4 linked regions of the Saccharomyces cerevisiae S288C genome follow. The protein of the gene in region 2 purifies or fractionates together with the protein of the main gene of each other region. This does not show direct contact. Each region holds a gene or a part of one and is shown on either strand. Other genes may lie near its edges.

Evidence for each region.
Region 1: the proteins of TOH1 (region 2) and EXG2 purify together in Saccharomyces cerevisiae (affinity purification with mass spectrometry, with the first as the bait; one large-scale study listed by BioGRID). This does not show direct contact.
Region 3: the proteins of TOH1 (region 2) and LAM6 purify together in Saccharomyces cerevisiae (affinity purification with mass spectrometry, with the first as the bait; one large-scale study listed by BioGRID). This does not show direct contact.
Region 4: the proteins of TOH1 (region 2) and NCA2 purify together in Saccharomyces cerevisiae (affinity purification with mass spectrometry, with the first as the bait; one large-scale study listed by BioGRID). This does not show direct contact.

The regions. Positions count from the first base shown.
Region 1 is NC_001136.10:977,021-984,627, forward strand, and holds EXG2 (glucan exo-1,3-beta-glucosidase), read right to left. Parts: upstream 2,190-7,607; coding exon 501-2,189; downstream 1-500. Other genes in the region: SWM1 (Swm1p), read right to left, coding at 1-209; YDR261W-A (gag protein), read left to right, coding at 4,442-5,758.
Region 2 is NC_001142.9:96,415-103,608, forward strand, and holds TOH1 (Toh1p), read right to left. Parts: upstream 4,481-7,194; coding exon 3,290-4,480; downstream 1-3,289. Other genes in the region: RFA3 (Rfa3p), read right to left, coding at 1-115; CPS1 (Gly-Xaa carboxypeptidase), read left to right, coding at 1,323-3,053; ASG7 (Asg7p), read right to left, coding at 4,736-5,365; histone methyltransferase SET2, read right to left, coding at 5,813-7,194. UniProt on the Saccharomyces cerevisiae protein: Probable circularly permuted 1,3-beta-glucanase involved in cell wall modification through beta-1,3-glucan network alterations such as increased branching or remodeling.
Region 3 is NC_001144.5:277,079-285,320, reverse strand, and holds LAM6 (Lam6p), read right to left. Parts: upstream 6,460-8,242; coding exon 4,378-6,459; downstream 1-4,377. Other genes in the region: FMP25 (Fmp25p), read right to left, coding at 1-1,449; 60S ribosomal protein uL16 RPL10, read right to left, coding at 1,729-2,394; BUD20 (Bud20p), read left to right, coding at 2,865-3,365; RFU1 (Rfu1p), read left to right, coding at 3,700-4,302; RGR1 (Rgr1p), read left to right, coding at 6,695-8,242.
Region 4 is NC_001148.4:832,584-840,712, forward strand, and holds NCA2 (Nca2p), read right to left. Parts: upstream 4,831-8,129; coding exon 2,980-4,830; downstream 1-2,979. Other genes in the region: URN1 (Urn1p), read right to left, coding at 1-875; MAY24 (May24p), read left to right, coding at 1,106-1,110, 1,245-1,662; PIN3 (Pin3p), read left to right, coding at 1,982-2,629; TPO3 (spermine transporter), read right to left, coding at 5,326-7,194. UniProt on the Saccharomyces cerevisiae protein: Involved in the mitochondrial expression of subunits 6 and 8 of the F0-F1 ATP synthase.

The sequences.
Region 1 (7,607 bases), on a different chromosome or scaffold from region 2:
TCGCGTACATTAGAATTCCTTTCCCCATCTTGGGGAGCTCTTCCCTCCTCCGCGTCGGTGCGAGTATTATCTTTCATAGCCATTGTAATATTTGCCACTTCGTCCGGAAGCGCCAGTATATCTTGATTCCATTCCGCATATAATATGTGATGTGGTGCTGGTAAATGGCGGTATTGAAAATATGAATCCCTATAAGAACTTGAACTCATAATCGTGGTTGTTATACTTTGCTCACCCCACTTCTCTGATATTATTCTCCCTTCTCTCACGATACAGCTAGGCCACGGCACAAATATGATGTAGTACTAAGATTTTTTTTTTTGAGGTTGCAATTCAGATTGTTGTCTTTTTCTACGACATGCATAGAAGTATATCATATGATATTTCGAACTTTGGGTGCTTTTCTACATAGTGCCTACGTTCTGAGTATCTATAATAATATAATGAAAAGTGTATATATAATTAGCACCATTAAACGCACCACACTGTTGCCGTTTACTTTAAAGAGAAGCGCAAAGAGCGGCAATGGTGATAGCGAGTGCGCATACGCTCGCTTTCCAGGTCAAACTCATATTTTTGATTGGTAATAGCTGCGAAGTTGTTAGTTTATTAGAAATTGCAGCATTCTTACTCTTCCTGGAAGTCGTAGTGGAGGACAAAACCGATGACGTTGTTCTTGGAAATGCCTGTGCTGATAAAGAGGATGAGAATTTTTCTTCGATAGATCCATCTGCTTTGAAGTACGTGTAGTTGTCGAAAGGGGAAGGGAAAAGGTTAGCTTCTTTTAGCTTCAAATAATCCCATTCTACGGCGTCTTCGGTCTTCCAATTCCAAAAAATCCATCCCGTTGTTTTTGACGAATAAGTGGCTAGCTGTGCCTCAATGAATTGTCTCACACGGTCACGGTAATCTTGCGTCCAATCAGCTAAGCTATTTTGGGATATACATGTTCCAACTGGCTTGTCGTTGGTGGTAAACAACGTTGTATTGTAGTATGATCCATCGTAACGTGCACCCACCCCAACACCATTTAGCCAGGTTGCACAATCAGTAATAGCGCCTGACCATTCTCCGACTACTGCTGGGTGAAAAGAAAGTTCTTTGTGGATAGAGTCCCCATAATTGATAATGTTTTCAATACGTGCAAACTGAGTTTCGGCCAATTGCGCATCAGTAAACACTTCATAATGATGATGGTCGACCAATATATCTTGAGAGCTGTAATTTGCACCAGTCAAATTGAAATAATGATGCGATACATTCTGGTAGGTTGGGTTTAGCTCCAAGTTCCAGTGACCGATTCCTTGAAAACCGTCATGAATAACAAACGTAGTGTTGTCACTCGAATTCTGATTTTTCTTGAGCAAGTCAAATGCTTCGTAATACATCTCCGTTATGTCTGAAACATCGATTTTGCCACCAAGCGGTTCGTTGACGATTTGAATACCCACCACAGGACTTTTGTCACCTTTATTTAAAAATGTCTGGAACATATCTCTCCAAATAGCCAGAGTCAGTTCTTTAGTATTATTCAACCTTAACCAGCCTAAATCGCCATAGAGTATTCTTTCACCGGAATTATCGAATCCATTCTGGGATCCAGGAGCACCATGTAGATCTAACCATACATTTAGTTCGTACTTTTGCGCCCATTCGAGAGCATTATTTAAATATTTCAGTTGTAATCCATCACTTACGTATGGATCATTGAAAGTTATGTTATCGATGTACAAGTTTTTATCAGTATTTTGTTTCCACGCCCAATATCCGATGGGGATCCTAACTAAATTGAAACCGTTGGTTTTGATTTGTTCAAAATCATCCTCTGTAATCCAAGTTTTGAAGTGATTATCCAATAAAGTTAGAGAGGTGTTATATCCTAAGGTTTTACAAAGAGTAAATTCGTCGACAATGGAGATATTGCTGGAAGAGTTTTGCTGTTTTGCCAGTGACGTAGCATTACGATATAATGATGGCGTGATATAAGGTTCTGTTACTAGCCAGCCGCCAATAGTAATACCTTTCACGGTGATAGTGTCGTTTGCATAGTAGGAGGCGAATTTGTTTTGTAAAATATTTAGTTCCAAAGGCGATAACGATTCTTCCTTCTCTGTGGTGCCAACGCCTTGCGTGAATTTAGACAGGCATAAAACTAGAAATGCTGAAAAAAAAAACGACTTCAAAGGCATATTAGGACGTCCCAAGTAACGAACGGTCTACAATTGACTATTCTATAGAACGCGCTAAAATCTCAGCCAAGGAAAAGAGTTTTCAAATTTATATAGGCGACGACGTATTCTCGAGAATTTGCGTTTTTCATTGTATTGTTTATTTTCTTCTTTTTTCGCGGGACTTATTTCTTGAACTCTGTCCGTAAATAGAATTAAAGGGACACATTTTTGCAGCGTCCCTGACCTTGTGATGTTTCAAAATAAACGCACACATTATTTTTAAATGGCAATTTCACGTAGTTTTAGTGGTTTGAAAATAATGATAAAATTTGGGCATTAATTGTGCAGATTATCAGTCAAAAAGTGAATCGAAATGTATCCCAATACAATTTCATGTGCATATTTCACTACTACGAAGTGAATATTGTAAAAATCACGTTATGACATAACTGCTTTTAGTAAATCTATAAATTAAATGATTAATAGACATGTACCCGAGGATAATAGGATTGGCGAAACTGGATATTTGTTTGTAGTATCACAGGTTAACATTATCGTTTTAGGACCTTTTTCACTTTGTCTGGTGATCTTGGGGAATCTCTATATCTTGAGATACTTGATTTAATTAGGCCTCCATAACCAGATTATGCATATTCGATTGGCAATGAATAACTTATAACTGAACGAGTTGTATCATTATCGATATCGTTATATATGGTATATCCAGGACTGACAGTCAACATATCACTTGACACTACCTTAAAATATTCAGGATTTACTAGGTATAATAGACAACAGACTAGTTAACGACAAATACTGAACATAGAGACGTACAAAATATGATACTTGTGTTCCTGCCACAGCAAAGTTGATGTACTTAGTTGACTGTATATAATTTTTTTCTTTCAACCTCTGCTTTATCTAACATTATTTGGCATTTTTTTATTTCTATCTAGTTAGATTTTAACTATAATCTGCTTATTCAGTATACAGTGTATTCTCTATTTTATTTTTTTGTTATTTTTACATGTTTTCAATTTAGTCTACTAAGATTATATGTTACAATTCAGGTACTCCGTCAAATAGCCCCCTTAAAATACTGCTTATGTGCACCTGGCATGAAGATTGGTATGATATGCATATGATATGTTCTATTTCTAGGTTTATTGACTCTATGTTTTCTTTCTAAAAAATCTTGAACATGGTCGCGACAGCTACTTTGACAATCATTGATAATCAGCCGTGCGTCAGAACTGAAGGTCTGCTAAATGAGCAGAAGAAGCCAGAGCGTAAAGTTTTCTGTACGAATAAAGAGGGGGGAAAGCCGTATTTTTTATTGAACGACTGCAGAACGGAGGATTATGACTGTTGTTATGAAAATAGCTAATATACAATATATGTGAAACTCCTTCGCAAGTATAATAACTCACATAGTCTTTGCTCTTCGCCATCAGTTACAAAGTGCGCTGCAACTTCCGAAATGCGATAAGTCGTGATGCGGTTACCTCGATATCGAAACCTTCTGTTTGTCCGTAAAATATCGTGTAACACTAAAGCATACTTTTTCTCATCGATTTATGGCTCATCGACCAACCGAATTCTTTGATAGTTAATGTATGCTGCAGGCAGAAGGGCAGCCGTAGGTATAAAAAAGACTAGAGTTCACGATCCAAGCACTATTTGCCATTTTTGTGCCCTTTCAAATTATTCTTTTTTATCGCATTGTCATTCTGGTACTATTAAAGTAAAATTAAAAAGATTGAGGAAAATTTTTGGTAAAAACGACAACTGCAGGACTCGAACCTGCGCGGGCAAAGCCCAAAAGATTTCTAATCTTTCGCCTTAACCACTCGGCCAAGTTGCCTCAATTTACAAGTAATTTGAATATTATTAGATAGTATGATGCAGTATTATGACACACATCTAAACGTTAATAAAACACACATGCAACTTGTTGGAATAAAAATCCACTATCGTCTTGTTGGAATAAAAATCAACTATCATCTACTAACTAGTATTTACGTTACTAGTATATTATCATATACGGTGTTAGAAGATGACGCAAATGATGAGAAATAGTCATCTAAATTAGTGGAAGCTGAAACGCAAGGATTGATAATGTAATAGGATCAATGAATATTAACATATAAAATGATGATAATAATATTTATAGAATTGTATAGAATTGCAGATTCCCTTTTATGGATTCCTAAATCCTCGAGGAGAACTTCTAGTATATCTACATACCTAATATTATAGCCTTAATCACAATGGAATCCCAACAATTACATCAAAATCCACATTCTCTACATGGTAGCGCCGCTGCTTCGGTTACTTCTAAGGAAGTCCCATCAAATCAAGATCCGTTAGCCGTTTCAGCTTCCAATTTACCGGAATTTGATAGAGATTCCACTAAGGTTAATTCTCAACAAGAGACAACACCTGGGACATCAGCTGTTCCAGAGAACCATCATCATGTCTCTCCTCAACCTGCTTCAGTACCACCTCCACAGAATGGACAGTACCAACAGCACGGCATGATGACCCCAAACAAAGCTATGGCCTCTAACTGGGCACATTACCAACAACCATCTATGATGACGTGTTCACATTATCAAACGTCACCTGCGTATTATCAACCGGACCCACACTATCCGCTGCCACAGTATATCCCACCGCTGAGTACTTCCTCACCTGATCCAATCGATTCACAGAATCAACACTCTGAAGTACCTCAAGCTAAGACAAAGGTGAGAAATAACGTCTTACCACCACACACTTTAACATCAGAAGAAAACTTTTCTACATGGGTTAAATTTTACATCAGATTTTTGAAGAACTCTAATCTCGGTGACATAATTCCAAATGACCAGGGTGAAATCAAAAGACAAATGACTTATGAAGAACATGCGTATATATACAATACCTTCCAAGCATTTGCCCCATTTCATTTATTGCCAACATGGGTAAAACAAATTTTAGAAATTAATTATGCTGACATCCTTACAGTCCTTTGTAAAAGTGTGTCCAAAATGCAAACTAACAATCAAGAATTAAAGGATTGGATAGCTCTTGCCAACCTTGAGTACGACGGAAGTACATCTGCTGATACATTTGAAATTACAGTCAGTACGATCATTCAGAGGCTAAAAGAAAACAATATCAATGTTAGCGACAGATTGGCCTGTCAACTAATACTTAAAGGTCTATCCGGTGATTTCAAATACCTACGTAATCAATATCGTACCAAAACGAACATGAAACTTTCCCAATTATTCGCTGAAATTCAATTAATATATGACGAAAATAAAATCATGAATCTAAATAAACCGTCCCAATACAAACAACACAGCGAATACAAAAATGTTTCTCGCACATCTCCAAACACGACTAACACGAAGGTTACAAGTCGTAATTATCATAGAACAAATAGTTCAAAACCAAGAGCAGCAAAAGCTCACAATATTGCTACATCCAGTAAATTCTCAAGGGTGAACAATGATCACATTAATGAATCAACCGTTTCATCACAATACTTAAGCGATGACAACGAACTTAGTCTTAGGCCAGCAACAGAAAGAATCTAAGCCAACACGCACAATAGACTCGAATGACGAACTACCTGATCACCTTCTTATTGATTCAGGAGCTTCGCAAACGCTTGTCAGATCAGCCCATTATTTACACCATGCAACACCCAATTCTGAAATAAACATAGTCGATGCTCAAAAACAAGACATTCCTATAAATGCCATTGGTAATCTTCACTTCAACTTTCAGAACGGCACCAAAACATCAATAAAAGCACTACACACACCAAACATAGCCTATGATCTATTAAGTTTGAGTGAGCTGGCTAACCAAAATATTACTGCCTGCTTTACCAGAAACACTTTAGAAAGATCGGATGGTACAGTACTAGCTCCCATAGTCAAACATGGAGACTTTTACTGGTTATCTAAAAAATACCTAATTCCTTCGCACATTTCAAAGCTAACAATAAACAACGTCAACAAAAGCAAAAGCGTAAATAAATATCCATATCCGTTAATACATCGAATGCTTGGACATGCTAACTTCCGAAGTATTCAGAAGTCTCTTAAGAAGAATGCAGTTACATATTTGAAAGAATCGGATATTGAATGGTCTAACGCTAGCACATATCAATGTCCTGACTGTCTAATCGGCAAAAGCACGAAACATAGGCATATCAAAGGATCACGACTAAAGTACCAAGAATCATATGAGCCTTTTCAGTACTTGCATACCGATATATTTGGTCCTGTACATCACTTACCGAAAAGTGCACCTTCTTACTTTATATCGTTTACAGATGAGAAAACCAGATTCCAATGGGTCTACCCATTACACGACCGTCGTGAAGAATCTATCCTCAATGTTTTTACATCGATATTAGCATTTATTAAGAACCAATTCAATGCTCGCGTTCTAGTTATCCAGATGGATCGTGGCTCCGAGTACACTAACAAAACTCTTCATAAGTTCTTTACGAACAGAGGTATTACTGCATGCTATACAACCACGGCAGATTCTAGAGCACACGGTGTCGCTGAACGATTAAATCGTACTTTATTAAACGATTGTCGCACACTGCTTCATTGCAGTGGTCTACCAAATCATCTATGGTTCTCAGCAGTCGAATTTTCTACTATAATCAGAAATTCATTAGTCTCACCAAAAAACGATAAATCTGCAAGACAACATGCAGGTTTAGCTGGACTGGACATTACTACTATACTACCTTTCGGTCAACCGGTTATAGTTAACAACCATAATCCCGACTCGAAAATACATCCTCGTGGCATTCCAGGTTACGCCTTACATCCGTCACGAAACTCTTATGGCTATATTATCTATCTTCCATCATTAAAAAAGACAGTAGATACTACCAATTACGTTATATTACAAGACAACCAATCCAAATTGGACCAATTCAATTATGATACACTCACCTTTGATGATGATCTCAATCGTTTAACAGCCCATAACCAATCTTTTATTGAACAAAATGAAACGGAGCAGTCATATGATCAAAATACAGAATCTGATCATGACTATCAATCGGAGATTGAAATAAACTCTGATCCTCTAGTGAACGATTTCTCGTCCCAATCATTGAACCCTTTACAATTAGACAAGGAACCAGTCCAAAAGGTACGTGCACCAAAAGAAGTTGATGCCGACATATCTGAATACAATATTCTTCCATCTACTATACGATCTCGTACACCCCATATCATTAATAAAGAGAGTACCGAAATGGGTGGTACCATTGAATCAGATACTACTTCACCTAGACACTCGTCTACCTTCACTGCACGAAACCAAAAGCGACCTGGTAGTCCCAACGATATGATTGATTTGACCTCACAGGATAGAGTTAATTATGGACTTGAAAACATCAAAACTACACGT
Region 2 (7,194 bases):
GTAAAATCAACTGAGATTCAGTGGGTTGTGATTTGATTTGCGCTATTATCCTAAACACAGGAGCATTGACGTTGGAGATTTCTGTGGGGTCAACTCTTGGTGTTTCGCTGGCCATTTTTACTTGTGTTACTGGTAGACGATGTTCTACAAGAATGGTGAAGGGTGTGTTATATTGCTCTTTATTTAAACACGAACGAAAAAAATATCGCGTATTGCCACATTTGGCGCGTCAATATTAAAGAACGAAGGCATTATATAGGGCGACTTGTCATGATTCCAACCATGGCATGGGCGGTGGATGCTTCTCAGCAGTGGCCCATTACGTTAGTCAACGACTGTTGGCTGTCATCTGTTCTTGTTGGGTGCTTGCAGCTGCATCGACAAACATGGATGGATGCCTCTACATATATATATATATTTATGTAATGGACCTCTGAATATTTTACTATGTAACTGACTATAGGAGATACCACTGGTGCTGTAGTACAATTTAGCACTTGCAAGCGTTGACACAGTTGTTGCGAAGGCCTCTTTCTTGTAGCACTTAATTGGAGTATGACTGCCATCATGTAGGGAAATTATGAAAGCATAGGATCAATCTTGACGTTGCAAAGAAGAAGAGACTTGCTGTTCCCTATTGATCACTTACCGTTATTGGAGTTCATATGGTACTTTTTTCATAATTTTACGAGTAATCCCTAGTGGTAGTTAATATTCAGCAAATAAAATACCAGTTTGAGACCAAAGGTAAGATAAGAGTTTACTGATAAAGACAAAGAATTGGGATGACCTAGTCCAAGGGATTATAGTACCTTCGCGAGTATTGCATATAAGCTTTTAGCGATACACAAACAAAGCGACACCGGGATTTGCATATCGCTTGTTCCTACGACGTTGTCAGTTCCATAACCTCTGATTTCCCATACGGATTTTGAAAATCAGCTACGAATAGATAGTCTTTTTCTATTTTCAGTAAATGTGTCATTGAAAAAAGTTTCTTTAGAACGACGCTTTTTGCAGGCTACTAGAAACACCCACTTCTAGTAGCTTTACGTGACGAATTGAACCGCGTGATCTTGTGCACTGTTATCCTAAATGCTCAATGCTCAGAACATCTTCTTGTTATCTCAGCCTCGCCACCCTTATCTTATCATAGCGGCCTTTTATTTTCCCCTTTGGGCAAAATACGATACAGCCTTCCAAGGTCGGGCAAGAAAGTTTATGACATATAAAAGAAACGGGTACCCCAAATACGTCTCTTCCCATTGTAAAACTAATCCTGCATCATCACATTAAGGAATCATTCATCTAACAATTACATTATGATCGCCTTACCAGTAGAGAAGGCCCCTAGAAAGTCCCTATGGCAAAGGCACAGAGCCTTTATTAGTGGAATAGTTGCCCTTATTATCATCGGCACCTTCTTCCTCACTTCGGGTCTCCACCCAGCACCACCTCATGAGGCAAAGCGTCCACACCATGGAAAAGGTCCCATGCACTCACCCAAATGTGAGAAGATTGAACCATTAAGTCCATCATTCAAACATTCCGTCGACACAATTCTTCATGACCCTGCCTTTAGAAACAGCTCCATTGAGAAACTGTCCAATGCTGTTAGAATCCCCACTGTAGTCCAAGACAAAAACCCCAACCCCGCAGATGATCCGGATTTCTATAAGCATTTTTATGAACTACACGACTATTTTGAGAAGACTTTCCCTAATATTCACAAGCATTTGAAATTGGAGAAAGTCAATGAGCTGGGTCTTCTATACACATGGGAAGGTTCTGATCCTGATCTAAAACCATTATTGTTAATGGCCCATCAAGATGTTGTACCTGTAAACAACGAAACTTTATCATCCTGGAAGTTCCCTCCATTTTCTGGTCACTATGATCCAGAAACAGATTTTGTTTGGGGGCGTGGTTCTAACGATTGTAAGAACTTGTTAATTGCCGAGTTTGAAGCTATCGAACAACTGTTGATAGATGGATTCAAGCCCAACAGAACTATTGTTATGTCGCTTGGTTTTGATGAAGAAGCAAGCGGCACCCTCGGTGCTGCCAGCTTAGCCTCATTTCTTCACGAAAGATATGGTGATGATGGTATTTACAGTATCATTGACGAGGGTGAAGGTATCATGGAAGTCGACAAGGATGTCTTTGTTGCCACTCCAATCAACGCTGAAAAAGGCTATGTCGACTTCGAAGTCAGTATTCTAGGCCATGGTGGTCATTCCTCTGTCCCACCTGATCATACCACAATCGGTATCGCTTCAGAACTGATTACTGAATTTGAAGCCAACCCATTTGACTACGAATTTGAGTTTGACAATCCAATCTATGGATTGTTGACATGTGCTGCTGAACATTCTAAATCTTTAAGTAAGGATGTGAAGAAGACAATTTTGGGCGCACCATTCTGTCCTAGAAGGAAGGACAAGCTTGTTGAGTACATTTCCAACCAATCACATTTGCGCAGCTTAATAAGAACAACACAAGCTGTTGATATCATCAATGGTGGTGTTAAAGCTAATGCTCTGCCCGAAACTACCAGATTCTTGATCAATCACAGAATTAATTTACATTCTTCTGTGGCTGAAGTCTTTGAAAGAAACATAGAATATGCGAAAAAGATTGCTGAGAAGTATGGCTATGGTTTATCTAAGAACGGTGACGATTACATTATCCCTGAAACCGAGTTAGGTCACATTGACATTACTCTCTTGAGAGAATTGGAACCAGCACCACTTTCGCCAAGTTCAGGCCCTGTTTGGGACATTTTGGCAGGTACTATTCAAGATGTTTTTGAAAACGGTGTTCTACAAAACAACGAAGAGTTCTATGTGACTACTGGTTTATTCTCTGGTAACACCGATACTAAATACTACTGGAATTTGTCCAAGAACATTTATAGGTTTGTTGGCTCTATCATTGATATTGATTTACTGAAGACATTGCATTCGGTTAATGAACACGTGGATGTCCCAGGTCATTTATCTGCCATTGCCTTTGTTTACGAGTATATCGTTAATGTTAACGAATACGCTTAAGCGCAATGATTGAATAGTCAAAGATTTTTTTTTTTTAATTTTTTTTTTTTAATTTTTTTTTTTTTTCATAGAACTTTTTATTTAAATAAATCACGTCTATATATGTATCAGTATAACGTAAAAAAAAAAACACCGTCAGTTAAACAAAACATAAATAAAAAAAAAAAGAAGTGTCAAATCAAGTGTCAAATCAAAATTTAAATGATGATGATAATATGACCATACAATGACTTAAATCAAATCAAAACCACTTGCGTAAAGGCAGTGAATATGGCCAAAATATAATACCATACACCGTTTTGCATCTTCGTTAAAGCAACACCATTCGACTTCGAGGTGGTCGAAGGCGCAGTAGCAGAAATGCTCATCAATTGAGAAGAATAGGTTTCGTTTTCTGGAATTGCAGCCAATAAATCGTTAACAGTATCAGCAGAAACAGTTCCATTGAATGGAGTGGCATCAGATATGAAAGAAACGACATTTCCACTAGAATCGAAAACAACACCACCTTTCATCGTTCCAGTAGTATTTCTTGTTATGTATCCGTAAGATTGGATACCAGTACCCAAATCCTCGATACCTTGGAAAGTGTGGAAAGTAGAATAGAGATGGTTTTTCTCCGTACCATTCATAGCTTCAAAAATATCGTATTCCCCACATCCACTAGCCCAACATGAACAGTTGGCATTGGTTGGATATTGAGAAGTCCTTGCAATGTGATCGTTTAGCAACCAAATAGCAGGCAAGTCATAGTACCCAATAGAGCTGCTATTTTTCTCAGTTTCAGTAGGCATTTCGAATTCAAACAAAAACATCTTTGTTGTACCTCCGTACCCATAGTAAGCTGGAATGCCACTACGGTAAACCCCACAACCCTTATCATAACCTGATTTTGGACATGAGACATTCGAATAGATTATGTATTCTTGATCTGAAGAAATCAAAGTGCCATCTGCCAAAACGGTAGCTTCACTGGCGCTGCCAGTACCGTTAGAACTAGCGTAGGACAAAGCATTTCCTAAACAAGGGGAAGCTTCACCTCCATGATTTAGAAAGGTAACGTTATCAGCGGTTTTGGAACTGGACTCATAGTAGGCAAGACGGTTCCAATCAGAAGAACTTCTGCTGTTGTTGACGGTAAATCCAGGGGATGTGTAAAAAGCAAATTGTTTCAACTTCAATGGTCCACGGAAATGAACGGATAAATAGTCTGCTAGTGGAGCGTTCTTACCACTAAACCATACTCTGTCACCCACTTCGCAAGTACACGATTCATTGTTGGTGATATCTTTAAACTTATTCACATCTACGTAGGAGCCTGTAAAACCAACATTAGTGAAATCCAACTTTTGGTACGACTGAGGTCCACTGGCAGCGACTGTGTGCAACATAAACATGCACACGGAAAGGACTATACTCTGTAACATTTGTCTTATTTAAGCTTGTAATGTTTGCACTTGAGTATGTTCTATTATGGCTGCTTCCTTCGATAAGGATTGTTTCTCGAGGATTTTCAGGTTTATAAATAACCTAAGCTCGGCAAAATAGACAAAAGAAAAGGGCGGAGCCAAGACTTTGAAAAAAAAAAATGGAAAAAGGAACCCTTGCAGATACAGCAAAAATGGGAAATGGAGGCTGTGGAAAAGAAAGAGGCTGATATCATTTTCTGTCTTTAGATCTACCTAACGGCTTTTCTTACATAGGAGAACTACAAATATTATGAGTATAGAATCGATGAGGAGGCCAAGCAAAGACCGTAAATTCCAGTCGCGGAAGGTCTTACGTAATAAATCGTGCGACTCCAGCACATCGTGGGCTACCTTCTTCAAAAACGCGTAACGATATTTTTTCAAGGTGTCATTCTCGTCCTCGACTTGTTCCGTGTTCACGTTTAGGAAAGACGACGGCATACCGTCTTTGCTCTCGTAATATTCTTCGCTGTTGCTATCACTGAAATTCTGCATGACGCGAATCTCTTGGAGGACTTCTTCCTTTATGGGTATCACCGTTCTTTTAGTTATGGCTTCATATTCATAAAATCCTGGGTATTCGTCTTCTTGCAAGTCGTGGAATTCCAATTCATGTGGTTGCCAATACTGTAAGAACCACCAGGCTAAAAGATTCACCAACCAGAAAACGGGGCACAAGATTCCAAAAACAAAAAACCTTGGCAGCCAAGGTTGGACAGGCACACTCATTTTACATGATTTGCATTGGCAACAGTATTTTTTCATCCAAGGGTTCTCATCGTTCTCGAAGGGCGCGGCTAGATGTTTTGTTTTATGCTCAATACTTGATGCTAAAGTAGTCATGTTTCTTGTCGTCATTCTTTGAATTTTTGTAGTCCTATGTACAAGCACAATATAAATGACAGACTAGTCAACGACGCTGACCCTTTATATGTTCCCCGTATATTCCTTGTTTTCATTGCAGTTAACATGTAAATTTCCCGATGCGGTAATTACGTTTCAAAGTCATTTCAACACTTCTATTGACAGCAAAAAAATAAAGACACTTGAAACGCACGATTTTTTCAAGAATAATATCTGTCGAGAAGATGTGTCACATTACCTATCATTACAGTGCTACTGATAGCCCACTAATGCGGATATTTAAATATATGCACCAAAAATGTATAAAGAAATAAACGGTAAAGACAAAAAAAATTACTTATTACAAATCGCAATTACAATTAAAGTACAAGACTTCCTTTGGGACAGAAAACGTGAAACAAGCCCCAAATATGCATGTCTGGTTAATTATGATGATGTTGAAGGTGGAGGAGAAGACATCCTTGTTGATGCTGATGATAATGCCAACGCCTTTTTTTGCTTCTTCTTGAGGATAATCTTATCCATGTATGAATTTATGAATTCTTTAACTTTATGCCTTTTTCCTTTGGTTAAGTCATCAGGCGGCGCTCTTGAAGAATCTTTTTTAAGTTCCTTTGTAGTTAGGATTTTCACGATGTCTTTAGCACATTGTTTAATGTTTTCATGATCAAATTGTTTACTTTGTGGGTTTTTTTTTATTAAGTTGGGTACAAAAGATGCAAAGAATTTATTCCAGTTGTGCTCTAGTCTTTGGGACTGGGAGACCGTTTTTCTTTTCAACCGCTTAGCCTCTTTTGCTTCCACTAGTTTTTTGGCCTCTTCCTTTTGTAACTCCTTCTGTTTGTTGGCCTCCGCTATAATATCCTCCAAAACGCTTTTTCTTTCATTCTCAAGCTTTAGCTTTTGCTTCAGGCTTTCCAATTCTTCTTGTTTGGCTCTTTCTAGCGCAATTCTTTCGTATTCCAGTCTTTTTTGTTTCTTCCTCTCATATTCTTCGTCACTCAGCTTATGTTTCTTAGAGTCTAAAGCGCCAGGCGTTTTTGGTATTCCACTGCTACTCGGAGAATTTACTTGTGTATTTGACCTTGAACTAAAGACCTTAGATGATCCCGAAGGTGGATAGTGTAGTTTCGTTTTCTGTTCTGCATTATAATACAATGGGCGACCGTTTTCGTGAATGATCTCCCAGCCTGGAGGTAATCTCACCCTTCTCAAATCTATCATTTTGCTGGCTGCGACGTTTATGTCTTTCTTCGTTATCCTTTTATATGTTTCAAATTTCGACCATTTCTCCAATAACTCATCGCAGTTTGGCTTTAAAAATGGAAACTTTGCAGGGAGAGTTTTTACTACATTATCAATTTGTGACGACTCAATACCGTTTCGAGTTGTCTTTGGTAATTCCAACAAAAAATCTAAAATTCCCTTTATAAACTTTATATCATCTTCTTCAGTCTCGTTTCCTTTTCCATCTACCTGAGGTTGTTCCGTGATAAACAATTTAAGCATTTTGCTAAAACAGGTGTAACCGTGTAGTTTGATAGCCTGATGACGAAGAGAGTCATCATCGATAGTAAAAAGTCTCTTCAAGAGTTTGGATGCAATTATCTTATTATCTTGCTGTAGTAATACACTCATGATCTTCGTCACATCCACTGGGCTGTCGATAGGTTGGACTTCCAATGATTGAAGAAATTCAATATTTATGTTCTCGTTTTCATTCTTTATTATTGGCTCACCGCTTAATTTCTTTAACTTTAGCCATTTTTTCTCCATGGAAACAGTCACTCCCAAGGCATCAGCGATGT
Region 3 (8,242 bases), on a different chromosome or scaffold from region 2:
ACATTGCGAGTTCTTGAAAGTGTTGTTGCCCAATTCACCAAAAAGTCCATTACCAAACGCGAAATAATGATGGTCTGACGTTGAGCCAGGCTTACGAATGGTCACAAACGATGTTTCATCATCACAATGAATATCCACACATTTCCAATTCGTCATCCCCGGGAAATGCGGTTTAAATGCATGCGTTACCGATCTTGGGAAAGAAACATATTCTAGATTGTACGAAATAGGTAGTGCCAATTGGCCGAACCTATTCCAGCCAAAGGCATAAATTTCACCAGTCTTATCTATTGCCAGTGTATGGTACGACCCGCAAGCTATCTTTTTAATTTCTCTTTTGCGGACAACGTCTTCTCCTTCATGCTTAAATTTGTTCAGCAGTTCAATTTCGAATAGTTGATTATTGGGAGGAAACTCATCGAATTGTGAGAATGTTGGTATACCGAATTGTCCTTTGGATACTTGAGCTTGTTTTTGATCATTTCCCGTCGCGCAGCAATAAGCCTTACCTAAATTAGATAGCAACACCAGATGATGGCTACCAGCGTCAAATTGTACTACACGTTTTTCTCCTTCCTTACCGTTGAAAATCTGATTTGTTTGTAATTTCCAATCATATCTTAGTTTTGTCTTCCATGGCAACAATTTCGACCTTCTTGATGATACTTGCGAAGCTATCAGATCCGGCGTTCTTATAGGTATGACCAATATTTCACCCTTTTTATTCAAAGCGTACAAAAAGTGACTAGAATACTTCATTGAGGTCAAATCTTGATCTGGCAATATCGTTTTTGTTTGTCCCAAATCATCCCACGATATCAAATCGCCTTTCTCGTCAATTGCAAAATTGGTGTTGAAATCGTCAGAGGGAGCTAATAGGATATCTCTGAATTTACGACCATCCAAATTAGGTACTCTAACAGGGAACAATGAGTCCTTAGAATGACACCTTCCCCATATGTATACACCAGGATGATCTATTCCAAGTTGAAAGGCAGGCACTTGAGGAATCTCCCTTAATAGATTTTTGGCCTTTTGTCTGATCAATTTTTCCAACGAATCCTGTCCACTTTGCTCTTGCGTTGCATTTATGCGACCGCCATTCATCTTGATTAACCACCAGGATTTTAATTCTGGCCAACGCAAGTAGGCCGTTCCCAACCCACCCACTACCACGAGAATGAGGATCCCTTGCCCAACAGCAGATAATTTCGCCATCCTTTCCCATTGGAGTTCAGATTCCTTTGTGATCTGATCAGGAGACTTCTCAGGCCATTGGAAATGCTCGTCTGATGGCCTTTTCTTTGCTTTATATGCGCCATGGTTAATGTTCTCTGCAAACAACTCTGCTTCATCGTATTGAGGTTGTTTGGCGTATCGCCTGATGGGACTAACCCAGTTAAGGCGAGGGAGACGTTGAGAAGTCCTCGTGAATAATCTGAATGACATTAGCGGCGCACGTCCCTGTTATCGATTGCTCCCTTTCTTGTTAGACGCATTCAACAATTCTTCGTTACTGCAGCTCAGGCTTTTTTTTTTCCTGCTGGTATACAAAAAGCAACAGTGTCCATTGACTTCAGGATATATCACTACCCAACATGCTGAACTTTAAAAAAACACATAATTATATGTATTACAATAATGTATAAATATATTTACTGTTTAATAAACTAGAATTTAAATCAAAAAAATTTCTCTTTTAAGTTAGTTCAAATGTTTGAAAAGAACTTAAGCTTGAGCAGCAAAGTATTCTGGGAATTCTCTGATGTTGTTTTCCAAAGAACCCTTCTTGGACAAGAACTTAACGAAAGCACCGTCGTCCTTGACTTCACCAGCTTCTCTCTTCTTCAAGTATTCTGGTCTGTCCAAGTTGGTGAAACCCCACTTCTTAGACAAAATAATCTTTTGTTGACCTGGGAACTTGTATCTGGCTCTTCTCAAACCTTCAACGACAACATCCTTGTTGCTGTCCTTGGTTCTGACAGAGAAGATAATTTGACCAATGTCGACACGAGCGGCCAAACCGTGTGGCTTACCCCAAGCACCTCTCATACCTTGTTGCAATCTATCCGCACCGGCACAAGACAACATCTTGTTGATTCTCAAGACATGGAAAGGATGGACTCTGACTCTTAAGTGGAAAGCATCTCTACCGGAGACAGTAGTCATGTACTTGTTGGCACAGATACGAGCAGCTTCCAAAGCTTCAGAAGACAATTGTTCCAATTCGTTGGAAACCAAATGGACACACAATGGGAATTCATCGACGGTAGCCTTCTTCTTACCCAAATCGTAGATTCTGATCTTGGAGTCTGGAACAGCTCTGTTGTATCTAGACTTTGGGTAAGGCTTGTTCTTTTGGTATCTGTAACATCTAGCTGGTCTTCTAGCCATCTTGAATTAGTTATTTGATATACTGTACTTTAAAGTTTGAAAGTCCCACTCCAAAAGCACTTGCGGAAAGGATGTATAAATGGTTGCTCCACATCAACATCTTTTTATAAACTATTCTCTAGAGAAACCAAACTGACCATCAATTCTGAGATGAAAAGTTTCCTTAGTCAGCATTATTGTGCTAACTAGTTTCGGAGGGAAAAATATCGAAAAAAAAAAACCAAAAAAAAAAATAAAAAAAATGTACGGAGGGAAAAGATGTACAGGTGTAAAAAAGCACCCCACGGAAATAACCGCTACTATAATTTCATTTCTTTTTTTTCTATATCCTGCGGAAAATTTTTTTATACTGACAGGGGAAAAAGCAAATTAATTTTGCTTTTATATATGGAAAGTAGCGGGAGATGAGATGAGGTGAATTGAAAGGCAGTTAAACACACAGACAAGTGAAGATAAAACAATAGCGCATCATGGGTAGATATTCGGTGAAGAGATACAAGACTAAAAGAAGAACACGAGACTTGGACCTGATCTATAACGATTTGTCCACCAAGGAATCAGTACAGAAGCTTCTGAACCAGCCATTGGATGAAACCAAACCGGGCCTTGGTCAGCACTATTGCATACACTGTGCCAAATACATGGAGACTGCTATAGCGTTAAAAACGCATTTAAAGGGCAAAGTGCACAAAAGAAGAGTCAAGGAGTTGAGGGGTGTCCCTTACACACAAGAAGTCTCTGATGCTGCTGCGGGCTACAATTTGAACAAGTTCTTGAACCGTGTACAGGAGATCACGCAATCGGTGGGTCCGGAGAAGGAAAGTAATGAGGCCTTGCTGAAGGAGCATTTGGACAGTACCTTGGCAAACGTCAAAACAACAGAACCTACTCTACCGTGGGCGGCTGCTGATGCCGAGGCGAATACCGCTGCCGTAACAGAGGCAGAGTCTACTGCCTCAGCCAGTACTTAACAGTAAAGTAAAGATCAGAACCAAAAATAGGCATATACACTTTTTATAGTATAACACACTTCCAGTCAACTCGAATCGCTTTTGCCGCGAAACGCAATGAAAAAAAGTACGCAACAAAGAGAAATAATGAAAAAAAAAAGAAAAAATTTTTTCATTGCTAGGCGATGAGCATCGACAGTTTTATACGTAAATCAATGGTTAGATAGATAATATTAATAACATACAAGACAATTTTTGCTTCGATTAAAGTGTTGGCACGAATTATTGTTGCGGTTCACCAACCACTATACATTTTTTCTCTTCCTTCCGCATCTTTATCTGGCCCCGGTAGGTCATGAAGTCTAGTAAGCAATTGGTTCAGGACGCTAAGGATTATCGCTTCAATCCGGCGATACCATTGAGAATTTACCTGAAAACATGCATCGGCATATTGGAAAAGGCACAGTGTGCGTTCCAGGCCAACGACTTGTCGCTGTCGTTTATTTATTATTTTAGATATGTGGATTTATTGACTAACAAACTATCTAGACACCCTGAGCTTTTGCGCATGGATGCGTCGTCGTCATCGTCGTCATCGTATATTCATAAAAGAGAATACCTGCAACTCATAAAGTTGGAAGTGCCTGCGGTCTGCAAAATTATTGAAAGCTTACGCACCCAAATTGATTCTCAATACAGCAAATTGCAAACATCACTCGCTAATAATATAGCCAAGCCGAACATAAACGCAAACACAACTCCCGTGCAGGTGGAGCAACAACCACTGCCGAAGAAATCTTTCGACGAGTATAGCTTCAACCAATCAATTTCTTTTTTCCAGAAAATTTCAAACGCACAACTTAATACCGGAGCAAGCTCTCAGAGTCAGGCCACTGCCCGTGATGAAGCCTACAGACTGAATTATCCGGAGCTACCACGCCTTACATTCTCCACATAGCATCCTTTTTTTTTTTTTTTTTCCATACCATACGAACATACATAACCTTACATACAATATTACATGATTACTCTGTTACAACACGTCTCCCCTTCTTGGTCTTGACCATTGTACTTTGGCTGGTATGTCCAATAGAGTCGCGTGCGCTACAACTTCGTCCTTGTGGGTCATGAGGTTCGTCAGCTTATCCATCTTCTTGTTCAACTTCATTAAATACAGCAGATTTAACACCAAGAGCACCAAGATTATTATGTTCACCCAGTTAAACCTCCATCTGTCGCTGCCTATTTCTGAGATTTCCGCCTCAGCTTCTGGTTTCGACTCCGGCTGTACCATCGTCAGCTCCGGTGCTGCCACTTTCCTAGGTGATCCAAAAGATGTAACACTGGGCAACGGCTTGAGTGTATCTGCTTTTTCTTTGCTCAATTCCACGTATTTCTCTACAAATTCTTCGACTAACTTTACCAAGTCCTTAGTGGCGCTAATTTGTCCATTTTTACAATTGCTCTCTACCATTGGCTTGATCCAACTGGATGCGTTCCAGTCCACCCAAAAACTTATTTTTAATATGCAACCTTGCCCCTGGTCATCCCATCGGAACATGTACCTCGTTCTGGTGCTGAAACTGGTACCACTAGGAACATTTGGTGTTCTTGTTATACTTAAAACATTTATGTACCTTTCCCAGTCGCAGTGTAAAAGAATTTCCGCTACCTCACAGTTTGTGGATTTGGGCCCCACAGGGAAATGCAGCTGTTTGGTGTATTGGAATTCTCTGTAATGTTGTCCATCTTTATTGACTTTTTCAAAAGTCCCTATGTGTGAGATGTTGGACGAATCTTGAGTTTTCAAAAAGCTTAACTCAAAAACTGGATTATCTTCATTGAACATCATAATGAAAAGTAGGCCGGGTGGAACGCTGAATTGACGTTCCAGAAGCACGTATTCATTATTAGCCTCAGGTTTATAAGGAAAGTCCATGGTTTCTTGTACATGGAATGGCCCCTCATATTGAAATGGTGCGTTTGGCTTTAACCTATATACGGGCCTACAATAATAAGTTGTTGAAGAGCCTAAAGACGATGACGACGATGACGACGAAGATGAAGAAGATGGCGATGCTCTTGGTGTGCCCATGTAATCGTCCACGGACCTTATGGCCTCCTCGATGAGCATGTCGTTCTCGCTCATGTAGGAAGCCCTGCTTGTTGGTTCAGTAGTGGTTGTCGATATGAAATCGTTATATGCATTGGTAGAAACATTGTTGAATATGGAAGAAGGGGTCGATGATATTCCCTTTTTCTTGGAGACCCTCTCATCAACCTCCAAAACGTCATTGATATTGGTTAAGTTTTCCTTTGACCAAACTCTTGTAATCAATTGGAAAACCTCGTCTCTCGCTATGAATCCGGAAAAAGTGTACCTGTTAGTCACGGTTTCCACCGAAATAGCACTTGAATTTGTGGTGACCTTATCTAAATATTTAATTTCATTCAAGGGAATCTGTAACTTTGCCATCCAGTTCAACACGGTTGAGTTGAAACATAAATGTGTGTTGGAGAGATAGATTCTGCCCTGATAGGGGAATTCTCTGTGGAAGTAGCAGAAGTAGTCCGTAATAAGTCTCGTATTAGGAGCTAATGGCTTGAACATTTGGCGGAATTTTTTATTAGCCTCCTCGGATGCAAACTGGACCTCAATATTTTTGACTTCATTAGTAACCGTATCTTGTGAATTTGATTTTAGGGAAAACGTGCTCAGTACGGTGTCAAAAAATGATGATCTCGACGAACAGTTAGAAATAGACGGCCTCTTGGCATCTCCATCAACCCCATCACTGTCCCCATTCGTCGAAGTGGCCATGATAATATTATTTACAGACGTCAAAGCTGTCTCGCCACCGCCACGATGATTGTCCAAGATAGAATTAACATCAGACAAGTGCGGGTCTGCCGGCGACGATTTCAACCCATTCAATGGCACTGAACCATCCCTACCGGGCGAAATCAACATATGTTCGGTAGAAGACTTCTGAAAGCTCTTACCCTTAATAAATTTTCTGGCACCATCCATGCCACCTTCTTCCACCACCGGCTTCACTGCATTCAACTCATTATCCATAGCGTCACCAAGCTCGCGCATACTATCCCCCCACATTCTACAATTCAACGTACCATGCTCTCTTCATTGCGTTCAATTATTCTCTCTAGATGCCACTAAATTTAATTACTTTGTCCCGCTTATTGTTAACTAAACGATTGTCCCATCGCACGGTCGCTGGTTCAAGTAAAAACGGTGAATTTTTCAATTGTTTAGTAGAGGTCTGTTGTAAAGATCATCAGAAAAAGAGTTAAAAAGTGGCAGGAAAGTATAGGGTTTTCTTGGCTGGGCAATGACTACCACGATAGGATCCCCACAAATGCTGGCTAATGAGGAGAGACTTTCTAACGAGATGCACGCACTGAAGAACCGGTCCGAGCAGAATGGGCAAGAGCAACAGGGTCCCGTTAAGAACACTCAACTGCATGGCCCTTCTGCAACCGACCCGGAAACTACGGCCACCCAAAAAGAATCTCTAGAAATGGTACCGAAAGATACAAGTGCAGCGACTATGACAAGTGCGCCTCCGCCAGCGTTGCCGCATGTTGAGATTAATCAAGTCAGTCTGGCATTAGTAATAAGGAACTTGACGGTATTTACAATGAAGGAACTTGCTCAGTACATGAAAACTAATGTTCACACCCAGGCAAATGAGCCTAACTCCGCAAAGAAAATACGTTTCTTACAGCTGATTATATTCCTAAGGACACAATTTTTGAAACTTTACGTGCTTGTGAAATGGACCCGTACTATAAAACAAAACAACTTTCACGTACTAATCGATCTGTTGAACTGGTTTAGAACGACTAACATGAATGTCAACAATTGTATTTGGGCTTTGAAAAGCAGTCTAAACTCTATGACCAATGCTAAATTGCCCAACGTGGATTTGGTCACCGCTTTGGAAGTTTTGAGTCTTGGGAGGCCAAATCTACCTACACACAACTTTAAATTAAGCGGTGTCAGTAACTCTATGGATATGGTAGATGGAATGGCCAAAGTTCCCATTGGATTGATTTTACAGAGATTAAAAGATTTGAACTTGACTGTCTCAATAAAAATTGCATTAATGAACATTCCTAAACCATTAAACAGCTATCATATCAAAAACGGTAGAATCTACTTTACTGTCCCTAATGAATTTGAAATCCAGTTATCGACTGTTAATAGACAGTCCCCTCTGTTTTTTGTGGATTTAAAATTGTTGTTTAACACGGAAGCTGAACAAACTGTTTCAGCAGTTACAGAAGCTACTTCGACTAACGGCGATAGTGAGAACAATGAAGAAAACTCAAGTTCCAACGGAAATAACCTTCCTTTGAATAAGCCAAGATTAGAGAAGTTGATCAATGAAATTCTTTTGAAAAGTAATGATCCATTATTATCCCTATACAATTTTCTGCACAAATACGTGTTGACATTACAGCTATACATGGTTCATAGAGAGTTTTTAAAGCTGGCCAACGGCGGTAAATTTTCCAAAAGTAATTTGATCCATAACTATGACTCTAAAAAAAGTACAATTACAGTTAGATATTGGCTGAATGGGAAAATGGACAGTAAGGGTAAGATCACTATTGGCATTCAAAGAACAACAGAAAGTCTTATCTTAAAATGGGACAACCAGAGTGCATCAAGGGCCAAAAATATGCCTGTAATTTATAACAATATTGTATCTAATATCGAAGGGATTTTGGATGAAATTATGTTCAATCATGCTAGAATCATCAGATCGGAGCTGTTGGCAAGGGATATATTCCAAGAAGACGAAGAAAATTCGGATGTTCTATTATTTCAACTCCCTACCACATGTGTTTCCATGGCGCCTATTCAATTAAAA
Region 4 (8,129 bases), on a different chromosome or scaffold from region 2:
GTTGGTTCTAGTACTTCGCTATCGTCTTCGCTATTATCTTCGCTATCGCTTTCTTCAGCGGTGGCATTGCCACTGCGCTCGCCGCACCATTCTTCGAAAAGACTTTCACGAACTGTGTCATCTCTGATCTTGTAAAAATCAGGATCGTTTTCGATTTTCTTGCTTTGCAGCGACCACGTGGAAAACTTGTCTAGTTTATACCTATCGAATAATTCGAAGAAGATATTACGCTCGTCAATGTCATCTGTATCAATACGATTCAGATCATCGATAATGCTGATATCTTGATTTACAATTTGTTCTTCATTCTCTTCGTCTTCCTCTTCGTCTTCCTCTTCGTCTTCCTCCCCCGAAGATGAACCATACCCGCTGACTAGCCCAGTGTGGCTTTCCTGTAAAGGGGATTTTACGTCACCCGCCTCTTCGCTGATCTCATCTTTTCTCTCAACTTCGTCTTGATTTCTTTTAAATAGATGAATCTCTTCGTTGCAAGATTCGAGGATTTTATCAATGTCCTCCTCCCGCATAGTGTAACCTCTGGCAACGCCAATCAGAAGAACCAGTTTTTCCTTATCTAACGACTCGATTAATGAGCGACACCTGCTGTCGTCCTCTTGACTGATGTCATTTTTGAACTCCTTAGAGTCATCATTAAAGTAAAGTTTTGTACCATCGTTGTATATTATTAAGTGCCAACCATTAACCAGTTCTAATGAAAATGTTGGCTTCCTCTCTGTCTGTGATTCTTTCGCATTGCTTTCTAGGTTAGAGCCTTTCTTCAAATTAGGTTTTTCCCATCGAGACTGCTTCGTGTTCTTATTATAGTAATACTTTTTGCCTGCAGGTGTCTTAAATTCCTGCCATTCTCCACGCATGGCGATTCTGTGTTACTGAACTGTCTTTCTCTTTATAATACATATCAGAATCTCTTTCGGACACTATTTCCTCTTTCTTCAATTATATTGTTTTCTCTTTCATTGCCGAAGAAAAAAAGAAACATACTGAAAGTTGATAAATATGCAATAATAAAACCTTTTCCTACTCTTGACGCTTCTGTATAAGATAAAAACTGCCAACAAGATCAGTTCCAACTTCCTGCCGTATTATGAGGTATGTTATTCATTACCAAGACTATATCCGCCACGGCTGGATGCAGGCATCGCTCCCTGTGGCTTAAGAAAATAATAGGCACAAAACTAACAATAAAAACATCCACTACTCTGTCGCATGTTCCCTGTGCTCAGATCATTCGTAACAAATAACGATATACCTGTTGGATATGTAACGCCAAAATTCCCCTCATTATACTGGCCCATCAACAACTCGAAGTATAATACTGCATTCTTATACTATATATCTGACATTTGGAAATTTTCGCTGTACTGGACTTTGATCTTTAATGGTGCATTTTACGTTACTGCTGGTGTGTATGCTAGCTTGACCCATAGAAAGAAGGCTGGAAGTGTATGGATATTCGTCATGTACGTCTTATACGGAGGCGTTCAAGGCTTGACGACTGGTACAGTTATGGGGTTTTTAATAGGTGCGATCTATAGATCTGGTTTATTTTCTATGTCTACATGGGTCCCACTTTGTTGCGCAGTAGTCCAAATCCTTTTCGATGTGGTGCTAAGTTATTCCATGGTTGGTTCCGTTATGTGAAAGCTTCTGTCAAGAAAAAACAAGAAGGGGTTTACTGATTTGATGATAAAAGTTAGCAGCAACTTTTGAATGAGAATGTGCCATCCTTCACGTAAAGAGCCTAATACTCTTTCTTCAAAGCGCTAGATTGTTCTAAACGTTTCTTTAACTATTGTTTTCGTTCGTGCAGCGTGATTAACCGAGCCTCCTTCGAGGCGGGGATGGATATTGTAAGCTGCATATATAGTCGAACCTCAAATCGGTTGAGACAATAGGCAAAGTGCCCACATTGGCGCAAACACAAGAACATTAGGAAAGAAGGCAATCTGATATTTCAAAAATGTCTGCTTCATTGATTAATCGTTCCTTAACAAACATTAGGACAGAACTGGATTTTCTAAAAGGGTCAAATGTCATTTCAAATGACGTTTACGATCAAATAAATAAGAGCTTGCCGGCAAAATGGGATCCTGCCAATGCACCCCGCAACGCCAGTCCAGCTTCCTTGGAATATGTCGAAGCTCTTTATCAATTTGATCCTCAACAAGATGGTGATTTGGGCTTAAAACCAGGTGACAAGGTCCAACTTTTAGAAAAATTATCTCCAGAGTGGTACAAGGGTAGCTGTAATGGCCGTACCGGTATTTTCCCAGCAAACTATGTCAAGCCAGCTTTCTCTGGGTCTAACGGTCCATCCAATCTTCCACCACCTCCACAGTATAAAGCTCAAGAATTACAACAAATCCCCACGCAAAATAGTGCCGCATCATCTTATCAACAGCAGCCATTTCCTCCACCTTCCACAAATTATTATCAGCAGCCTCAACAACAGCCGCAACAAGCTCCTCCTCCCCAACAACAACAACAACAACAACAACATCAGAGCTCACATAGCCACTTGAAGAGCTTTGGTAGCAAATTGGGTAATGCCGCCATTTTTGGGGCAGGCGCTAGTATTGGGTCAGATATTGTTAATAATATCTTTTAAGTCGTTTTTCTCTTTATATACTTCATTCATTTGTTCTCCATTATGGCCAAACCTTTCATAAATTGAACGAAGTTCTACCTTTGGTGTTGTTATCCCTAGAATTTTTTTCTAATGAGTATGAATTTAAGTAACCTTTTTTTTTCTTTTTTTTTAAACAGATATATCGTATATGGAGGATAATAGTACATCACTTATGATATGAGCGAGAAAATCTGTCTTTTTAGTAAAAAAGTATAAAAAGTAAAAAGGCGTCGATTTTGCGTTGATTTCTTTATATTTACGTCTGTACAAAAAATACATTAAGAATATATTCAATATCTTCCCTTTCTTCTTCCCCAGCAGGCTATACGCTAATGGATTAAAAACCTGCCATATACGTGGTATATCCTGTTGACGACATTTATATGAGCTCCGGAGTCAAGATTGGTATCCACCAGTTCCTCAACGTCCCTAAACCATTCTTTCTTTCTTGAACGCGGGATCAAAAAACTTCCCAATTTGTATAAGTTAGAAACCTCAATCACTAGTAGACCCTGGTTTAAGTGTTCCTCATCGGCGTCCGCACCTTGTTTAGAATAATTCAAAACTCTTTCCACATTATTCAAACTTATACTTATTTGCTCCCTATACCGTTTTTCATTAGACCAGACATTGCCTAGTTTGACAAATCTTTTTAACGCCACTATAGAAGAATATAGTATCACTAAAGCCGGAGATAATGCTACAACTCCAAACACCAACTGTTGCGATTTCAGCATTTTATCAATGCCATTCAATGCCATAGATCCATCGACTTTTGTTTTTTGCAGTTGAATCAATAAAGACCTGACTAATCCACCCGTAGCTATATTCTTTATCGGATGATGTAGTTGTGTTTCATATATTTCCATAAATTCGGTCAAATCACCATGTTCGACTTTAGTACTCAATAGAATAGGGTCTATGGGGCTGTTAGACGTCGAATCACTATTATCCACAACAAAACTAACAATCATTCTGGTAAGAGAATCCATGTCAGAGTTTAATGTCTCCTGTGATGTCACTGAAATGGCGCTTCCCTCGTCATGCTTAACAGTAGACCAAACCTGTTTCAGGGGTGCCCATAACCAGTTCAAGATCAGCCCTTTCGCAAAGTCAACGACATTGGTCTTAATGAAATCTTGAATAAAATACCGGGAATTCCACAACGACATAACAGAAGATGGTCCATATAAAAGACACAACAAAATTGAAGGCCAGTATCTAGTCAATATACTTGGTTTAGTGAACCTTCTTAAAGGATGATCTTTATGAAATTTCGCTGAGCATCGGATCACATCTAGTAAATTCGAATCAGACATGGCTAATCCAAAGAAGTCCTGTAAAGATTTTAGACGTCTTTCGTAGTTCGGTAAATGTACTTCGGTGAACATACCATTTTCTTCTGGTTGTTGATCGAATTCAGTGATCAACTGCCCCAGTTTAATAGTATAATACTTTGATGATTGAGTGACCATATCAAGTCTTTCGTGCACTATACCGCGAGGTATATCAGAAACCAATGAAGCTATTTCAATTGGTTTCTTCGGTAGCCCGACAAACCTGAAGTTCCGAATCACCATAAATTTGTTTATTCTTGGGCGTATTTTTTCTAGTAAATCAACTGACAAGGCCTTTAGGGACCATTTTTGATGCGACAGTTTTTTCTTATTTACATCCTTCAAAACAGTTTGAGATAAAAGACGTATTGTCGATACTGAATTTTGTAAACAGTAAAGAAAAGACTTTAGGATTGAATCACTTACTGTTTTGTAGTACTGTTCAGCTTCATACACGGCAGGTAAACCTTGGACGCATTCGTTGGTCACAGAATAGTAGCACAATAATATAATGTACTCAAATATGGCTTGGCTAACAAGATATTGCAAATCTCCGTCTTCAAAGGATGAGGGATCAGCAATGTCCTTGCAAATATTGTATAGCAAATCAAAAGGCACCGAACAATAAGAGTCAATATTGTCAGTTTTGATTGAAATGCAGATTTTTTCAACAATTGACCTGATCAATTGTAATTGATCTTGTAACCTACTTAGTTCTTCATTTTCCTCACGTACGTCTTGAATCAATTGTTGCTGTGAATCAAATGCAACCTCTCGTAGTGATTCCTCTAATGAATGACTTATCTCTTCAAAAGATTTCAAAATACGCCTATTGATGATCATTTAAGAATATTAATTAAGGAACCTGCAATTTTGCAATAGGACTATTTTGTTGACTTTGTTGTTATTACTAAGTTTTAAAGTGGAAAAGAATTCCGACCCTTTGTTTAGTGAGTGGGGGTCAATCAAATTCGTATTCCTCGGTCAAATGAGGAGGAATGTAAAAACCGAAAATAAAGTCATCGCATAGGTACAAGAAGAATGAACTTGAGAAGTTCAAATTTCTAATTCAATTTTTTTTTTTTTCTATACATATAAATTAATAAAGTTACTCACGGTTTGAAGGTCAATCAATATATTTGTTTAGGATAGCAATAGATAAAAGAACAATAGAGAAAGAATGTAAAATACGTAAAAATATATGTACATTACTGTCGGATAATGGTTTGAATGCATGTTTGATATGTTTGCTTATGTTTGCTTATGTTTGCTTATGTTTTTATCATTACTACTACTATAATTTTTCATTATTATGCTCGATTCGTAAAATCGTTACTCTTATTCAATACTATCTATGGAATAATCCTTCTTGGATAACTTATGTCTCAAACCTTTGCCCCAGTAAGAAAATGCAAAAGGTAAAGCAATCATAGCAGTGGAGATGAAAGCCAACAACCAAGAACCCCAGTGCAGATTCAATTTGTGGTACATTTGAATGGTAAACAAGGGGAAGGCAGCACCACCGGCGGATCTTAAGAAAACCTTTGTAGCCAGAGCACTGGATGCGTATTGGACGTAGCAATCAATAATGTAATTATTCAATGAATAATAAATCAACACCATACCGAAACCAAAAGCTAAACCAGCTGAAGCTGGACCAACCCAAATAATATGTTTATAAGCGGTAGCACCCAGGATCCATAAAGCAATTGCAGCAAATGGAGCACCGATCTTAGCACCTAGCAAACGATCTTCAGGAGTAGGTTTACGCTGTTTGACAATTTGTAAATACTTGTTTTCACAGTAGAAAGTTGTGGCTAACGCCCAAAGAGCACCGATAACAATAGGAATAAACATCAAACCCACAAGGTTGTCTTTGTAGCCATATAGTTCACCGAAAATGACAGGGAAGGCAAAGAAGAACGCATATAGTAGAGAGTAAATCAAACACACGTAGAAACAAGTAGCAACTAGAACAGGTTCAGTGACAGAGAAGTACAAAGGTCTCAACAGACAAGCCCTCATCATTTCACCCATACTGACACCTTGCGCTTCCTGCTCAGTCATAATCTTGGGATTACCAGTTTCCTTTCTTAATCTAGCAGCCTTTCTCTTCAAGATAACTGGAGCGTACGTTTCTGGGATGGCAGAAGATATGATCCACATAACACCTGCAAAGGCCATATTGACCCAGAAAATCAGGTCCATACGTCCGGTAGAAACGGAAATAAAACCGTTAACTAGTGGACCAACAACGGGACCAACGTAAGGAGCAAAAGCGAAGAAAGCAATAGCCTTACCTCTTGTTTCACTTGGGAACATATCGGCAATAGACCCACCAACTAAACACAAACCAGATGATGACCAAACACCACATAAAAATCTACAAGCTAAAAGACTACCTAGATTTGGAGCTAAGGCGCAAGGGATATTGAAGATGACATAAAGACCCATAGAAACAAAGTAAGCAACTCTTCTACCGTAAAGATCACTAACAGGAGACCAAATCAAAGGACCCAGCGAGAACCCAATAACCATTAAAGAAACCGATAAAATAGCGGCTTCCATACCTACATGGTATTTCTTTTCAACGGTTCCCAACCCACCACTGATACAAGCAGACCCGTAGGCGACACAAATAACTAAGATTGACAGTAGGACAGTGTAACTCCAACGGATCCATGCAGGCCAGTTATGGGGGTTTTCTGGATCGCCAGTCACAAAGGTAACGAATTCAATTTCCGGATCTAGATCTGGAGCTTCGTCATTCGCACCACTAGAGTCGCCTTCTTTACCCTTTTCGTTATTATCACTTTCTAAAGCATCTTCATTAGAAGAAGGCGAAGAAGCGCCATCGATCTGTCTAGTTCTCGTACGGGAAATCGCAGTAGAAGTTCTACCTATGGAATGTAGAGTGGCGACAGGAACTAAACCTGTAGGGGTTTCTAAAGTATATTCTTCAGGAAAAATCTTATTCTTGCTAGATTGAGGAGCATTAACATCAGGAACGGGGGCTTTGGAGCTCACACCCATGTCCTGCAATGACTTCACGGTTTCCGTCCGGGTCAACTTCAGTTGATTAGGAGCCATGTTGGATTTAGATCCACTCTCTGAAGGGATATATTGTTGCGGCTGCTGACTTTCTACATCAGACAACGAAGATGTTTCGTCTGAATTAAACGAATTTATGGATTCCTGTCTGTTCATTTCTGTTTATCTTTGGCTAGAGGAGTACTAATGCAAAATTAAAATAATGAAGTAAGAAGGGAGAAAGTAATTAGTTATATTAGAAAACTAGACCACGAAATTTGTAGTATAATTATGGGTATGACAATTAAAGAATTAGGGTGAACGCTACCGGTGAGGACAAAAAAGGCTGAACGAAGAAGAAAAATAAAAAGAAGATTAGATCAACGCACCTAGACGAAAAAGAGCAAATACTGCTTATTGTATTCACTTTGGAGAACAGGTTGTAACAGGACAGCTGACAATTGCTAAGTTAAGTAGATTACAAAGACAAATGTTCTTAGGCGAAAAGAATATATAAACTAAAAGAAAAAGTGGAAAAAGGGTACGTGTAAAAAGAGACTAGGATGGTTGAGCAGCGAATGATTGCAAGATATATAAAAGAAACGAGCCAGTTTTACAGCGTTTAACGCAGATCCAGAATATGAACAAAATGCATTAGGAAATAAATGAAAAAAATGGCTCTATGGATCAGGGATCATCATGGCTGCCGGAAACTACGCCGTTCTGTTTTGTTTTTGTTTTTCCTTTTTCCCGTTTGGGTGAAATCAGTGAGCTGTTCCGATCCGTTGGGCGAAGACATTGCCGCAGTGACGAAGCCCGGCTAGTCCGATTGGGCTCCAGTAAACCCCTCGCCAAGCACAGAGAAGCTAGTCAGAGGCCCGCTAGACTGTACTTACTGGTCTTTAGCACACGACGACCGTACTTTGCACGTGGCTGCAGACACATTTTGTATGGAGGGAATGCTTGATTATATAAAGAGCTCTGTTTTTATGTTACCCGTCCAACGTTCTCACCCGGCTCCGCGCTATTTTTTTTTTTTTTTTTTTTTTTTTTCAGACCCACACAAAATCCGCGTAGCCGAGATTGCTTATGTATGTTATCATATTGCCTGT